3 linked regions of the Macaca mulatta genome follow. The protein of the gene in region 1 purifies or fractionates together with the protein of each later gene. This does not show direct contact. Links are inferred from orthologs where the notes say so. Each region holds a gene or a part of one and is shown in the gene's direction. Other genes may lie near its edges.

Region 1 (3,752 bases):
CATCAGCTCAGACCTGTCTCCCTGTGCTACACAGCATGGTGAAACTGAGCTTCTTTGATCTCTGTCCTGGATGTGTCCTGTTGTCTTACCTTCAATTGGAGGCTCCCAGAAGACAGGGGCTGTCCCCTCTTTCAGGTCCCCAGTTCCCTAAGAGCAGGGTCTGCTCTGACCAGCCTCCAGTCCCTCTGCCGCCTGGCCCAGGCTGCACCCTTGGAGAACAGAGTTGTGGGACAGACTGTGTCCTCCCTACAGATTCCTGTCCATGCTGGAGGAGGAGATCTATGGGGCAAACTCTCCAATCTGGGAGTCAGGCTTCACCATGCCACCCTCAGAGGGGACACAGCTGGTGCCCCGGCCAGGTATGTGCCATGGTATGCTCTGTAGGGTGTCTGGCCTGCCTGGCTGAGCTAAGCCTCCTGGGTGGAAGAGGGCTCAGCTGGGCCAGAGGCCCTGGATCCCACTGAGGGACCTGCCACCAGCTTCAGCCCTCCCGTCCCTGACTTCTCTCTCTCTCTGTCTCCCTTGTCCCTGACTTCTCTCCCTCTCTCTCCTCAGCTTCAGTCCCCCCGTCCCTGACTTCTCTCTCTCTCTCCTCAGCTTCAGTCCCCTTGTCCCTGACCTCTCTCTCTCTCCCCTTAGCTTCAGTCCCCCGGTCCCTGACTTCTCTCTCTCTCTGTCTCAGCTTCAGTCCCCCGGTCCCTGACCTCTCTCTCTCTCTCCTCAGCTTCGGTCAGTGCAGCAGTTGTTCCCAGCACCCCCATCTTCAGCCCCAGCATGGGCGGAGGCAGCAACAGCTCTCTGAGTCTGGATTCTGCAGGGGCCGAGCCTATGCCAGGTAGATACTTGATCCCTGACCTCTGACCATCATTCACTCCTTCCCAAACCTTTTTTTACTGATCCTGACCAACCTTGCCTGCCTCCCCAATAGGCGAGAAGAGGAAGCTCCCGGAGAACCTGACCCTGGAGGATGCCAAGAGGCTCCGTGTGATGGGCGACATCCCCATGGAGCTAGTCAATGAGGTCATGCTGACCATCACTGACCCTGCTGCCATGCTGGGGCCTGAGGTGGGCAGCCCGACCTGCTGACCAGTTGGGGGACCCCCACCAACCTGAAACCCCAGCTCACCGCCCCTCTTCTGTGCCCAGACGAGCCTGCTTTCGGCCAATGCGGCCCGGGATGAGACAGCCCGCCTGGAGGAGCGCCGTGGCATCATTGAGTTCCACGTCATTGGCAACTCGCTGACGCCCAAGGCCAACCGGCGGGTGTTGCTGTGGCTCGTGGGGCTGCAGAATGTCTTTTCCCACCAGCTGCCACGCATGCCTAAGGAGTATATCGCCCGCCTCGTCTTTGACCCGTGCGTCCCCCAGAGAGCCCCTCCCCCAGGGCAGGACCCCCGGGTCCCTTCCTCCTCGGCCTCTTGACTCCTCAAAATTGGAGATCCCCTGCTCCCCACTTCTGAAGTTCAACCTTTGATCATTCTTATTTCTCACTGCCCAACCCTGACTACAGTTCAGACTTCCAGGGCTCTGGGGACCTGAAGGAAACAGGCAGGGGCTGTGACGTGCCCACCTCTCTCTTAGGAAGCACAAGACTCTGGCCTTGATCAAGGATGGGCGGGTCATCGGTGGCATCTGCTTCCGCATGTTTCCCACCCAGGGCTTCACGGAGATTGTCTTCTGTGCTGTCACCTCGAATGAGCAGGTCAAGGTGAGTGCCGCTCCCCAGCCCACGGCTCGCTCCGGAGTTTGGGCCAGCTCGGAGCAGCGGGAGGTGTGGGATGCAGCAGCCCCTGGCTCTTCTCTTAGTGGCCCGTTCCTCACATCCCCACAAGGTGGCAGCCGTACTTTGATAACTGTGGATTAGGAAACCACCTGTTCACAGACAGAGCCCAAGAAGCGGCCACGCTTTGGTGACCTGTGGACTAGGATTTTCTTCATCACAAGAACATTTACATACATGGGGGAATTAATTACTTTAATTTTTATTTTTTATTTATTTTTTGAAACAGGGTCTCTCTCAGCCAGGCCGGAGTGCAGAGGCATGATCAGGACTCACTGCAGCCTTGACCTCCCAGGCTCAAGTGATTCTCGTGCCTTGGCTTCCCAAGTAGCTGGGACTACAGGCATGCGCCATTACATCTGGCTAACTTTTGTGTTTTAGCAGAGACAGGGTTTTACCATGTTGCCCAGGCTAGTCTCCAACTCCTGACCTCAAGTGATTCACCTGCCTCGGCCTCCCAAAGTGCTGGGATTACAGGTGTGAGCCACGGTGACCAGCCGAACTAACCGTTATTACAGTAGTCCTATGCTGATAGCCTTGGCTTCTGTCCTTTGTTACAACAGACCCCCTCGTAGGGTCGCTGGCTCTGTGTGTCACATACCTCAGATCTGCGTGGCGCATCGTTGGCCCTGATGTGTGGGAGCCATTGCTCCTGCTCAGGCCTCTGGTGACTCCCTCTCCCTCCTCTCCCAACTCTGAGGCCCAGGGACTGGGAATTGCTGGCCTGTGTTGGGTTTGGACCCGGCCCTGCCACGGCTGGCAGCCTGACCTTGAACGCATTTCCTAACATAGCTGTTTCAGTTTTCTCTTTTCTAAAATAGAGGTGGTACTACTCGCCTCTGGGGTTGAGAATCGGTCTGTAAAACAGGAAGCACTGCACCTGGCCCAGAGTGAGCTTAGAAAGCCTCTACCTTTCACTTTCCCCCATAAACTCCCCTCCCTCTGTCAGCTGCCTTTCTTCCTCTTTGCCTGGATGCTCTCCCTCTCCCCACCTCCTTTCCAATCCACCCGCTCCACTCTGGGCTCTGAGACCTCTCCAGCACCAGGCCCATCCTCAGCTCCTGGTGAGTCCTGCTCCCCTCCCCCACAGGGTTATGGGACCCACCTGATGAACCACCTGAAGGAGTATCATATCAAGCACAACATTCTCTACTTCCTCACCTACGCGGACGAGTATGCCATCGGCTACTTCAAAAAGCAGGTGACCCGTAGCCTTATCCCACACTGGTCCTTTGCCTGAAGCCTGGGGTCATTCTGTCCAGCCCCTCTGTGGATGGAGTAGGAGTCCCTTTATGTCCCCTACTTCACCTGACACCTGCCAGGAAAGTCTCCATGCCTATCTTCTTTCCTCTGCTGCCACTGCCCCAGGGGAGAATGGGGGCCTATGGGGCCAGTAGAGCAGGCTGGAGGAACTGGGGGGCCAGTAGAGCAGGCTGGAGGAATTGGGGGGCCAGTAGAGCAGCCTGGAGGAACTGGGGGACCAGTAGAGAAGGCCGGAGGAACTGGGGGCCAGTAGAGCAGGCTGGAGGAACTGGGGGGCCAGTAGAGCAGGCTGGAGGAACTGGGGGGCCAGTAGAGCAGGCTGGAACTGGGGGGCTGGTAGAGCAGGCCGGAGGAACTGGGGGGCCAGTAGAGCAGCCTGGAGGAACTGGGGGGCCAGTAGAGCAGCCTGGAGGAACTGGGGGGCCAGTAGAGCAGCCTGGAGGAACTGGGGGGCCAGTAGAGAAGGCCGGAGGAACTGGGGGGGCCAGTAGAGCAGGCTGGAGGAACTGGGGGGCCAGTAGAGCAGCCTGGAGGAACTGGGGGGCCAGTAGAGAAGGCCAGAGGAACTGGGGAGCCAGAGCAGGCTGGAGGAACTGGGGGGGCCAGTAGAGCAGGCTGGAGGAACTGGGGGGCCAGTAGAGAAGGCCAGAGGAACTGGGGAGTCAGAGCAGGCTGGAGGAACTGGGGGGCCAGTAGAGCAGGCCGGAGG
Region 2 (4,551 bases), on another chromosome or scaffold:
GGGTTCCAGCTATTCTCCTGCCTCAGCCTCCTGAGTAGCTGAGACTATAGGCTTGTGCCGCCACGCCCGGCTAAATGTTGTATTTTTAGCAGAGACAGGATTTCACCACGTTGGCCAGGCCGATCTTAAACTCCTGACGTTAAGTGATCCGCCCGCCTCGGCCTCCCAAAGCGCTGGCATTACAGGCGTGAGCCACCGTGCCTGGCCTCCACCTATTTTTAAATGTACCTTGCAAATATTCAAAAGCAAGCGACTGTTGTTAGTTCTGCAGAGGGGTTGGCCACAGTAAGAGTGGGGAAAGGCACTAGCTCAGCGTGGGGGCACGTGCTCTCACTCGAAACAATGTATTGAGAACACTTGGTTCTTGGGGGTTCCTGCCCAAACTTCAAGATGGCGGCCAGGCGGACGGCTGATTCTGATGAGTCTGATGAGGTGAGCTGCTCCGCAAAACTGAAGGGCCCACTAAGACTGGGAAATTAGTATGTATTTGTGTATGTGTTTGTGAGGAGAGCCGCTGGAGGGTTTTAAGGAAAACAGTGATTGGATTTATGACCGAAAGGTCCGTCTAGCTGTGTAAGGAATGTCGGGGGACACTATTTGGGGAGCATGTATCTGTAATCTTGGTGAGTAAGGATGTTGGCTTGGACTCGTTAGCATAGTAGCACTGGATGGAGATGTGGAGACATGGATAGAACTTTGGGAGGTCACCTGGACAACACTTGTTGCTAGATTGAATGTGGATTGTGAGGGAAAGCACCAACATGGCTGCCTGCTCCGTTTCTGGCCTGGGTGAGTTCCTGTTCCCGAGATGGAGAATCCTAGGGCGTTGGTTTTTGTGTAGGTTAAGAGTAAGTTATCTGCGACATTTTAAGCCAGAGATAGTTAACTGATGCACTTTTTTTTAAAGTCACTGGGGCTAGATGGTCGGTTCTCACGAGAGTCCTTCGGGCAGTTCTGTGGGGAGGGGCTGGGAAGGGTGTAAACTGGGAGGCAAGGAAGGGTCCTGTGTTGGCCTCAGCGGGGAGACAGTAAGCTGCTCGGGGCCAAGAGTGGCTAGAGGGTCTCTAACGGGCAGAGTGAAGGCTTTAGTTTTTCATCAGTGTGAAATGGGCAGCCACGGTAGGGCTTTGAGTGTGACAAGGGCTAACGAAAATCCTGTGTGGACAGCAAGCTATTGGGTAGGATTGCCAGATTTAGCTAATAAAAATCCGGGACACCCGGTTAAATATGAACATCAGAACAATTATTTCGTAGCATAAGTATGGCCTGTGCAAATCTGGGATATACTTATACTAAAAATGTATTCGTTGGTGATGTGACATTCAAATGTAACGAGTCCAACTGTGTTGGACCAAGCAGCCCTAACATTGACTGGGTCTGGAATTTCGGGAAGCCGAAAGGGGCTAAGGTGGTAGCCATGGAGGTGTGAGGAGGGACCCCCGCAAAGGTGAGGTTGGCCCATTTGGTGCCCTTTGCCGGAGAACAACTCTGGGGAGTCGAGCTTCTCGGCTCCTCTACTTCTTTTAGCCCCCAGCAGGCTCCACGGGGAAGGATTACCTGCTTCTTCCAATCCTGAGTTCCGGCGCCCGAGCGCGTCTCTTCCCCTGGCCAGCGTCTTGCTGAAACTCCCGCCCCCCGCGGCTGGCACGTAACCCCGCCTTCCGCTTCCCTCCTCCCTCTCCCCGCAGGGGTGGAGCCTGAGCGAGGAGCCCGCGAGCTCCTCTCTCTCTCCTCTGTCCTCCGATGACGAGTGGCTGGATAATATGGAGTCGGGCAAGATGGCGCCTCCCAAGAACGCTCCGAGAGATGCCTTGGTAAGTGGGAAGGATGAGCGGCGGAGCGCGAAGCCAGGTGCAGCCAGGGACCTGCGAGGCAGGGCCACGCTGAGGGCCTGAGGGAGGGCTCGCACGCTCGTTTCAGTCTGGTCAGGGTCGTCAGGAGGAGAGGGTGATGGGGATGCCCCCGGGCCCCTATCTCGCCGCTCGGGCCAAGCTCTGCCAGAGGGTCGTGGTCCAGCGGAGCTTGCGGAACGGCTGCCCAGCTTTGTGTCCTGGGCTTCGGGCCCCTGCCGCCCCCTCGTCTCTACCTATCTGCCAGCCCTGACTCTGCGTCCAGGGTTCTGATGCTAGCTTATCCCGCCGCCACAGCCAAAAATGACAACCAGCTGGACCTATCCCTACCTCTGCTGGGGAAGCCAACTTGTCTTCTCTTTGCCCCCCACCCCGCCCCCAACCCCGCCAAAAAATAAAAATAAAAGTTTTCTGCAAAAGCATACTATGCGATTTGGTGTGATCACTGACTCACTTGGGAGGACAAGGGTGAGTAGGACTTTGGAGCCCAAAGAAGGGGAACCTTGTATCATAAATATAAATACTACCCTTCTGTCCAGCCTTAATTTCCAGTACCAAATTCTGCATCTGGCGTTTTTATTTGAATCCACAGGTGATGGCACAGATCCTGAAGGATATGGGAATCACAGAGTATGAACCAAGGGTTATAAATCAAATGTTGGAATTTGCTTTCCGTAAGTTAATGAAACACCAAAAACTTGCCTAACTTGTGAACTAGAAAAGATATTTTTATTGTAAGAACATTTTCTTTTCTTTTCTTTTTTGAGACAGGGACTCACTGTTGCCCAGGCTGGAGGGCAGTGGCGGGATCTCGGCTCACTGCAGCCTCCGCCTCCTGGGTTCAAGCGATTCTCATGCCTCAACCTCCTGAGCTGGGACTACAGGCACTTGCCACCATGCCCGGCTAAGTTTTGTATTTTCAGTAGAAAGGGAGTTTCGCCATATTGCCCAGGCAGGCCTCGAACTACTGACTCAAGTGATCCGCCCATCTCGGCCTCCCAAAGTGCTGGGATTACAGGCGTAAGCCACCGCGCCCAGCCTTGTAAGAACATTTTCAACCAAATTATGTTAACAGTATCGTAGAATTCAGCCTAAAGAGCTAAAAAGGAGTTCATGCTAGGGGACAGTAGTATTCATACTGTGATATCTGTTTAAAACTGATCATATAGACAGGACAATTACCTATTAAAATCAGCATTTAGGCTGGACACAGTAGCTTACACCTGTAATCTCAGCACTTCGGGAGGCTGAGGCGGGAGGCCAGGAGTTTGAGTTATGCCTGGGCAACATAGTGAGACCCTGTCTCTACAAAAAACCACAAAATTTATAAACTGTCTACAAATTAGTGGAAACTTTTTTTAAGTAGCCATAAATATTAAGCTGTCTTCATATGTTTAAGAAAAGATTGTTTTTTTCTTAAAGGTTATGTGACTACAATTCTGGATGATGCAAAAATTTATTCGAGCCATGCTAAGAAACCTAACGTTGATGCAGATGATGTGAGACTGGCAATCCAGTGTCGTGCTGACCAATCTTTTACCTCTCCTCCCCCAAGAGATGTGAGCAAACTTGGATTTGAAGTTATTTTTACTTAAAATTTTTTAAACTGTAGTTCTAATAAGGATTTTTTTTTTAAGTTTTTACTGGATATCGCAAGGCAGAAAAATCAAACCCCTTTGCCACTGATTAAGCCATATGCAGGACCTAGACTGCCACCTGATAGATACTGCTTAACAGCTCCAAACTATAGGCTGAAGTCCTTAATTAAAAAGGTAAGAAATTTTAGTCAACTTTTCTTTTTTTAAAAGGTGGAATATGATAGGGGACTTTGTGAAAAGCAAATTCCTGTAGCTAGTATAGTAGATTAAAGGTTAAGATAACTTACTAGAATTTTTTTAATTTTAAAAATTTTTTGAGCTAGATGGACCTTTAGTGCTCATTTAATTCAACAGTCATTTTTCACATCAGGAAGCGGGGCCTGAACTCATTTGTGAAGTTGGTAGCCAAGCTAGGACTGATTCCAAACCTCGTAACTCCCAATCTTTCCACTATATCTTAGTTTTTTAGTGAGGCCTAATAACAGAGGGAATGATACCATCAGGAATTGGGCCAGCTTTCTGAAATATGACCTAAAGCTCTCCCACCACTGAAACAGTTCTCCCTATAATAGGCTGCCTTTTTTTTCTGAAGTTCCACTATAAGAGTTTTATTCTTTTTTGGGTTAAGAAATTGACTAGTTAAGATTACAAATCACAAAGTAGTTAGCTGTTATCCCCATTCAAATAAGACTCTATCTTAAACTTTAATACTGCATAAGATTATATATGTATTCATATCTATTTTTATATAAAGACATGTATATATGTTTATGCAAAACCCAGATTAAATGTTGGATTTAGAACACTGAGAGAACAAAAACAGGACTTTCTTGCCATGGATTATCCATGATCATTTACATCAGCAATCCTAATTTCATTCCTGGTAAAGTTAGGTGTCACATCTTAACATTAATTTGCTTTTTAAATCCCCTAGGGACCTAACCAAGGGAGACTAGTTCCACGATTAAGTGTTGGTGCTGTTAGTAGCAAACCTACTACTCCTACTATAGGTAAGTGAGAGGAGACAATGGCATTTCTGGCTGGTAAAGCAGTGCCTCAGCACTTGGTTTTGAACTATAATGCAAGTCAAAAAGTGAATCAGA
Region 3 (4,501 bases), on another chromosome or scaffold:
CAGTAGTGGAGAGAACTCTGAAGGAGGACCTTGGAGACAATACATTCACTCTTACTCTACCGATTAGATTAGAATGAGTGATCTTTGTAAGTTACTTAATTCTATTGACACACCTGAAGAAAGGGAGTATTCTTCTTTCTCAAGGGTTTTGTATGAAGAATAAAGAAGTCAAAATTATTTCCAAATTGTAACTGGTTATAAAATTCTTCATGATAAAATTATTTTCTTATTGTGATGGTGGCGGTGGTGGTGGTTGCAGTGGTGTGTGGGTGTGTGTGTATGTCTTTGGGGAGTGAGTGTGAGGTCATGGGAGGACTTGCTATGGGTAGATGTGTTAGGATGTGAACTCTTCTTCACTGGAAACCATAATCATGGTCCCAAAGCTCAGCTATTGGGAAACTGCTAATTGATGGAAAGAAAAGATGAAAATCTGATTCAAAGGTCTAATCATCTATGGAGGGATAAGAAAGTTGTAGCTTTAAATATTCGTTCAACATTTTATTCCTGTATGTGATTCGCTCTTCTATGTATAGAGGACATATCAGTGAACAAAAACAGTCCCATGTCTATGAATGGATTACTTTTCAGGAGGAAGAAGTAGACATTTAAAGAACAATCTTATATATTACATAGTAAAAATAAGAAAATAAATGTGCAGTGAGTGATATTACTGGTGGTTTTGCTATAAGTAAGTTATAGTATGTCCTTCTAAGAAGAGGACATCTAAGAGATTGAATTAAATTTAAGAATGACTCTTGCTAACATCAGGGGAAGGATCATTTTATGGAGAGAGAGGAGCAAGTGCAAAAGCCTTGAGGAGTCATAGATTTGATAGTTTAATTGAGGAGGTGTTTTTTACATGTGGAAAAAGCAGAGGAGATAAACCTTAACAGTATAAATAAAATAATTCAGATACCAAAGACCATATATTATGATTCTATTTTTATCAATTGATTAAAAACCCAAAGGATATTAGTGATTGTCTGGAGCTTGGGATCAGAATAGGAGTAACGGCATTAGGGTTTTTTTTTTTTTTTTTCAGGTGGTAAAAATAATTTTAAATTGTGTTACAGTAACAGTCATATAGTTCCACAAATTTAGTAGAAATTATCACATTATACACTTAAAAATGAGAGTGTATGATGCTATGTAAATACAACTCAGTAGCTTAAAAATACACAAGTATTAGTGAATCATGCAAATATTAGAGATACAATCACGTCATCCAGAGAGAAAAGCATGTGCGAAAGCCCAGGGGCAGCGGTGTGCTTAGTGCATTTAACATGGAAAATGTGTTTTGGGTTGGGGAACAAAAGGCAGGATAAATGATGGGTTACACGAACCTCTTGGTAGAAAAGCTTCAGTTTGTCCTCTCCAGTAGAAGAGAAAATAACAATAATTGCCTTGATGGGGTGAAATTTGTCCTGAGACAAAAATTAAGAATAAACTGTTTCAAATTACTACAAAGTCCATTTTATTCTGTCATTGGTTTATTCTTCTTGCCTTTCTTTTCTCCTTTCTCTGTTAAATATTAATTTTTGGTCCTGTTCTAAATCTCTGTAAAAGCAGTATTCTTTCTATTCCCGCTTTTCTTACCATGTCCCCTTCAACATTTCCAGCACTGCAGGATTTTCTGACCAAGAGGTTCAAGAGTCAAGACAGAAAGAAGCCAAGGGAGCAGTGCAATGGATTTCTCAGTAAAGGTAGACATAGAGAAGGAGGTGACCTGCCCCATCTGCCTGGAGCTCCTAACAGAACCTCTGAGCCTGGATTGTGGCCACAGCTTCTGCCAAGCCTGCATCACTGCAAAGATCAAGGAGTCAGTGACCATCTCAAGAGGAGAAAGCAGCTGTCCTGTGTGTCAGAGCAGATTCCAGCCTGGGAAGCTCCGACCTAATCGGCATCTGGCCAACATAGTTGAGAGAGTCAAGGAGGTCAAGATGAGCCCACAGGAGGGGCAGAAGAGAGACATCTGTGAGCACCATGGAAAAAAACTCCAGATCTTCTGTAAGGAAGATGGAAAAGTCATTTGCTGGGTTTGTGAACTGTCTCAGGAACACCAAGGTCACCAAACATTCCGCATAAACGAGGTGGTCAAGGAATGTCAGGTAGGCTCCAAGGTAGAGGAAGAGAAAGCAGAGAGCAGAAATGGTACCTGATGTGAAATCTCCACGTTTTTTGTCCTGCTTTATTCCCCTTTTCACCATAGAACTGAGAGCCCTGTGATCTCTTTCCAAACTCTTTACTTAGTTTCTGAAGCCTGAAGGACAGTGCTGCACATTGCTTTTATTTAAAAGAGTACATTTTTTAGCAAGGAAAAGTTGAATGAATGGAGAATTGCTTTGTAAGATAAGCTTTAATTGCCACTCCGAGAAGAAAGGTGTTTTTGAGAACATGTCTTGTTAGATGTGGCAAAAGTGGCAATGAAAGGAAGTCTTTCCTTAATGCAGGGTCTGCTTTTTCTCTAGGAAAAGAATCAGGCTACTCTTGATAAGGGGATGGTAACTTCCATCATCCAGTAATAAAGAATACGTTCATCTCCTCAGATTTTCCCCCATGCCATAGGTTCTAATCACCAGCCTCACTGTTTCTGTAAACTAGTCCCTTCTGAGAGCCATCCAATTTCTTCCTTGCTATCCTCTATCCAGGTGCTGAGAAAACTCATAACTTTACTCTGGTATAATTTCTTTCTCACAGGAAAAGCTGCAGGCAGCCCTGCAGAAGCTGACAAAGGAGGATCAAGAAGCTGAGAAGCTGGAAGATGACGTCAGACAAGAGAGAACCGTCTGGAAGGCAGGAGGAGACACCTCCTAAGGGATAATTAGACAGGAATCTGGGCAGGACCTTGGGCTCTATCACAAGGAGACCACTTCCCCTTTGCTGTGCTAGAATTAACAGTTATAGAAGTCATATGATTAGGTCTCATTTAATTCCTTCCCTGTTGGAGTTTGGGGGCTGGAGAGCAGACATATCATAAATCAACACAATATTTGGAAGTGAAGGCATGGAGGGAAATACCTGTGAAAATGCTTCCTGTGAATCCTGTGTTCCATTTGTGTCATCAAGTTTGAGGCTCCAATCCTTCCAGTAAACAACCTGAGGAAAGACCCAGGATTCCCTGTTTAGGTGGTTTGGGTAGGGGAATTTTTTTTTTTTTTTTTTTAGACAAGAGTCTCGATTTGTCATCTAGGCTGGAGTGCAGTGGAGTGATCTCGGCTCACTGCAACCTCTGCCTTCCCAGGTCAAGCGATTCTCCTGCCTCAGCCTCCCAAGTAGCTGGGACTACAGGCACGTGCCACCATACCCGGCTAATTTTTTGTATTTTCAGTAGAGATGGGGTTTCACCATGCTAGCCAGGATGGTCTTGATCTCCTGACCTCATGATCCGCCCACCTCTGCATCCCAAAGTGCTGGGATTACAGGCGTGAACCACTGTGCCCGACCAGGTAAAGGGATTTAAGAGAGAGAAAGGCAAGGTTGTTCAGGACAGGTGTCTATAATCCAAGCCTCACCCAAGCATCACATTTTGTCTCAGATTAGGCCTCAATAAAAGACTTGAGTGTATTGCTTTGGAAGGAGTTCCGGTTAAAAAATAGAAAAGCATGGCTTCACCAGAAATTGTGTATTGGCTTTTGCCTCGTATTCCTTTTGAGAACTCCCTGAGGAAAACAGTTCTTATCCTGGCTCCCAGGCTCATACAAAGCAGGCCTTCAACCAGCCAGACTGACTGCCTCTTTCTCTTCTCTTCTCATTCAAGAATTATATCCAGCTCGAGAGACAGAAGATTCTGAAAGGGTTCAATGAAATGAGAGTCATCTTGGACAGTGAGGAGCAGAGAGAGCTGCAAAAGCTGGAGGAAGGTGAGGTGAATGTGCTGGATAACCTGGCAGCAGCTAGAGACCAGCTGGTCCAGCAGAGGCAGGATGCCAGCAAGCTCATCTCAGATCTCCAGCGGAGGTTGAGGGGGTCATCAATAGAGATGCTGCAGGTAAGACTTGGGATGGAGCACCTACATATGAGATTAGGGGAAAAACACAGAGGCTGATTTTCCTTCCCTTCCCAGTCTCTAGGCTTTCTTCTGTGTGGTGACATTAAATGGTTCCTTTGGCCTGGCAGTGCCCCTTTTATGCCCATCATTTCAGGAGTCACAGAGATAATTAAGTGTATGAGTGGCAAAGGAAATTCCCTTTATTATTTACTTATGAGAGGCAGTGTAAAAATTTGAGCTTGGAGAGAAGATTCTTTGTACCATGAGCAAATTCGTTTTAGAACTTCCCCATCACATCAAAAACATTTCTCATGCCTGTTTACAGTCAATATCTGCTTCTACCTCCACCTCCTGGCAACCAATCTGTTTTCTGTCTGTATAGAATTGGCTTCTCTGGACATTTCAATATGAACTGAATTATACAACATGTAGTCTTTTGCATCTGGCATCTTTAATTTAGCATAATATTTTGAGGTTTATTTATATTGCAGTATGTATCAGCATTTTGCTCTT

The links.
Region 2: the proteins of KAT2A (region 1) and TAF9B purify together in Homo sapiens (affinity purification with mass spectrometry; 4 studies listed by BioGRID, with this or other methods). This does not show direct contact. The link is inferred for Macaca mulatta from reciprocal best matches to the Homo sapiens genes KAT2A and TAF9B.
Region 3: the proteins of KAT2A (region 1) and TRIM22 purify together in Homo sapiens (affinity purification with western blotting; 3 studies listed by BioGRID). This does not show direct contact. The link is inferred for Macaca mulatta from reciprocal best matches to the Homo sapiens genes KAT2A and TRIM22.

The regions. Positions count from the first base shown.
Region 1 is NC_133421.1:66,453,917-66,457,668, reverse strand, and holds part of KAT2A (histone acetyltransferase KAT2A), read left to right. Parts: intron 1-252; coding exon 253-359; intron 360-724; coding exon 725-835; intron 836-928; coding exon 929-1,065; intron 1,066-1,146; coding exon 1,147-1,355; intron 1,356-1,581; coding exon 1,582-1,708; intron 1,709-2,870; coding exon 2,871-2,981; intron 2,982-3,752. UniProt on the Homo sapiens protein: Protein lysine acyltransferase that can act as a acetyltransferase, glutaryltransferase, succinyltransferase or malonyltransferase, depending on the context.
Region 2 is NC_133426.1:84,382,200-84,386,750, reverse strand, and holds the start of TAF9B (transcription initiation factor TFIID subunit 9B), read left to right. Parts: upstream 1-1,735; 5' UTR 1,736-1,763; coding exon 1,764-1,814; intron 1,815-2,442; coding exon 2,443-2,524; intron 2,525-3,272; coding exon 3,273-3,409; intron 3,410-3,487; coding exon 3,488-3,622; intron 3,623-4,382; coding exon 4,383-4,458; intron 4,459-4,551. UniProt on the Homo sapiens protein: Essential for cell viability. TAF9 and TAF9B are involved in transcriptional activation as well as repression of distinct but overlapping sets of genes. May have a role in gene regulation associated with apoptosis.
Region 3 is NC_133419.1:69,875,169-69,879,669, reverse strand, and holds the start of TRIM22 (E3 ubiquitin-protein ligase TRIM22), read left to right. Parts: upstream 1-1,685; coding exon 1,686-2,108; intron 2,109-2,697; coding exon 2,698-2,793; intron 2,794-3,757; coding exon 3,758-3,988; intron 3,989-4,501. UniProt on the Homo sapiens protein: Interferon-induced E3 ubiquitin ligase that plays important roles in innate and adaptive immunity.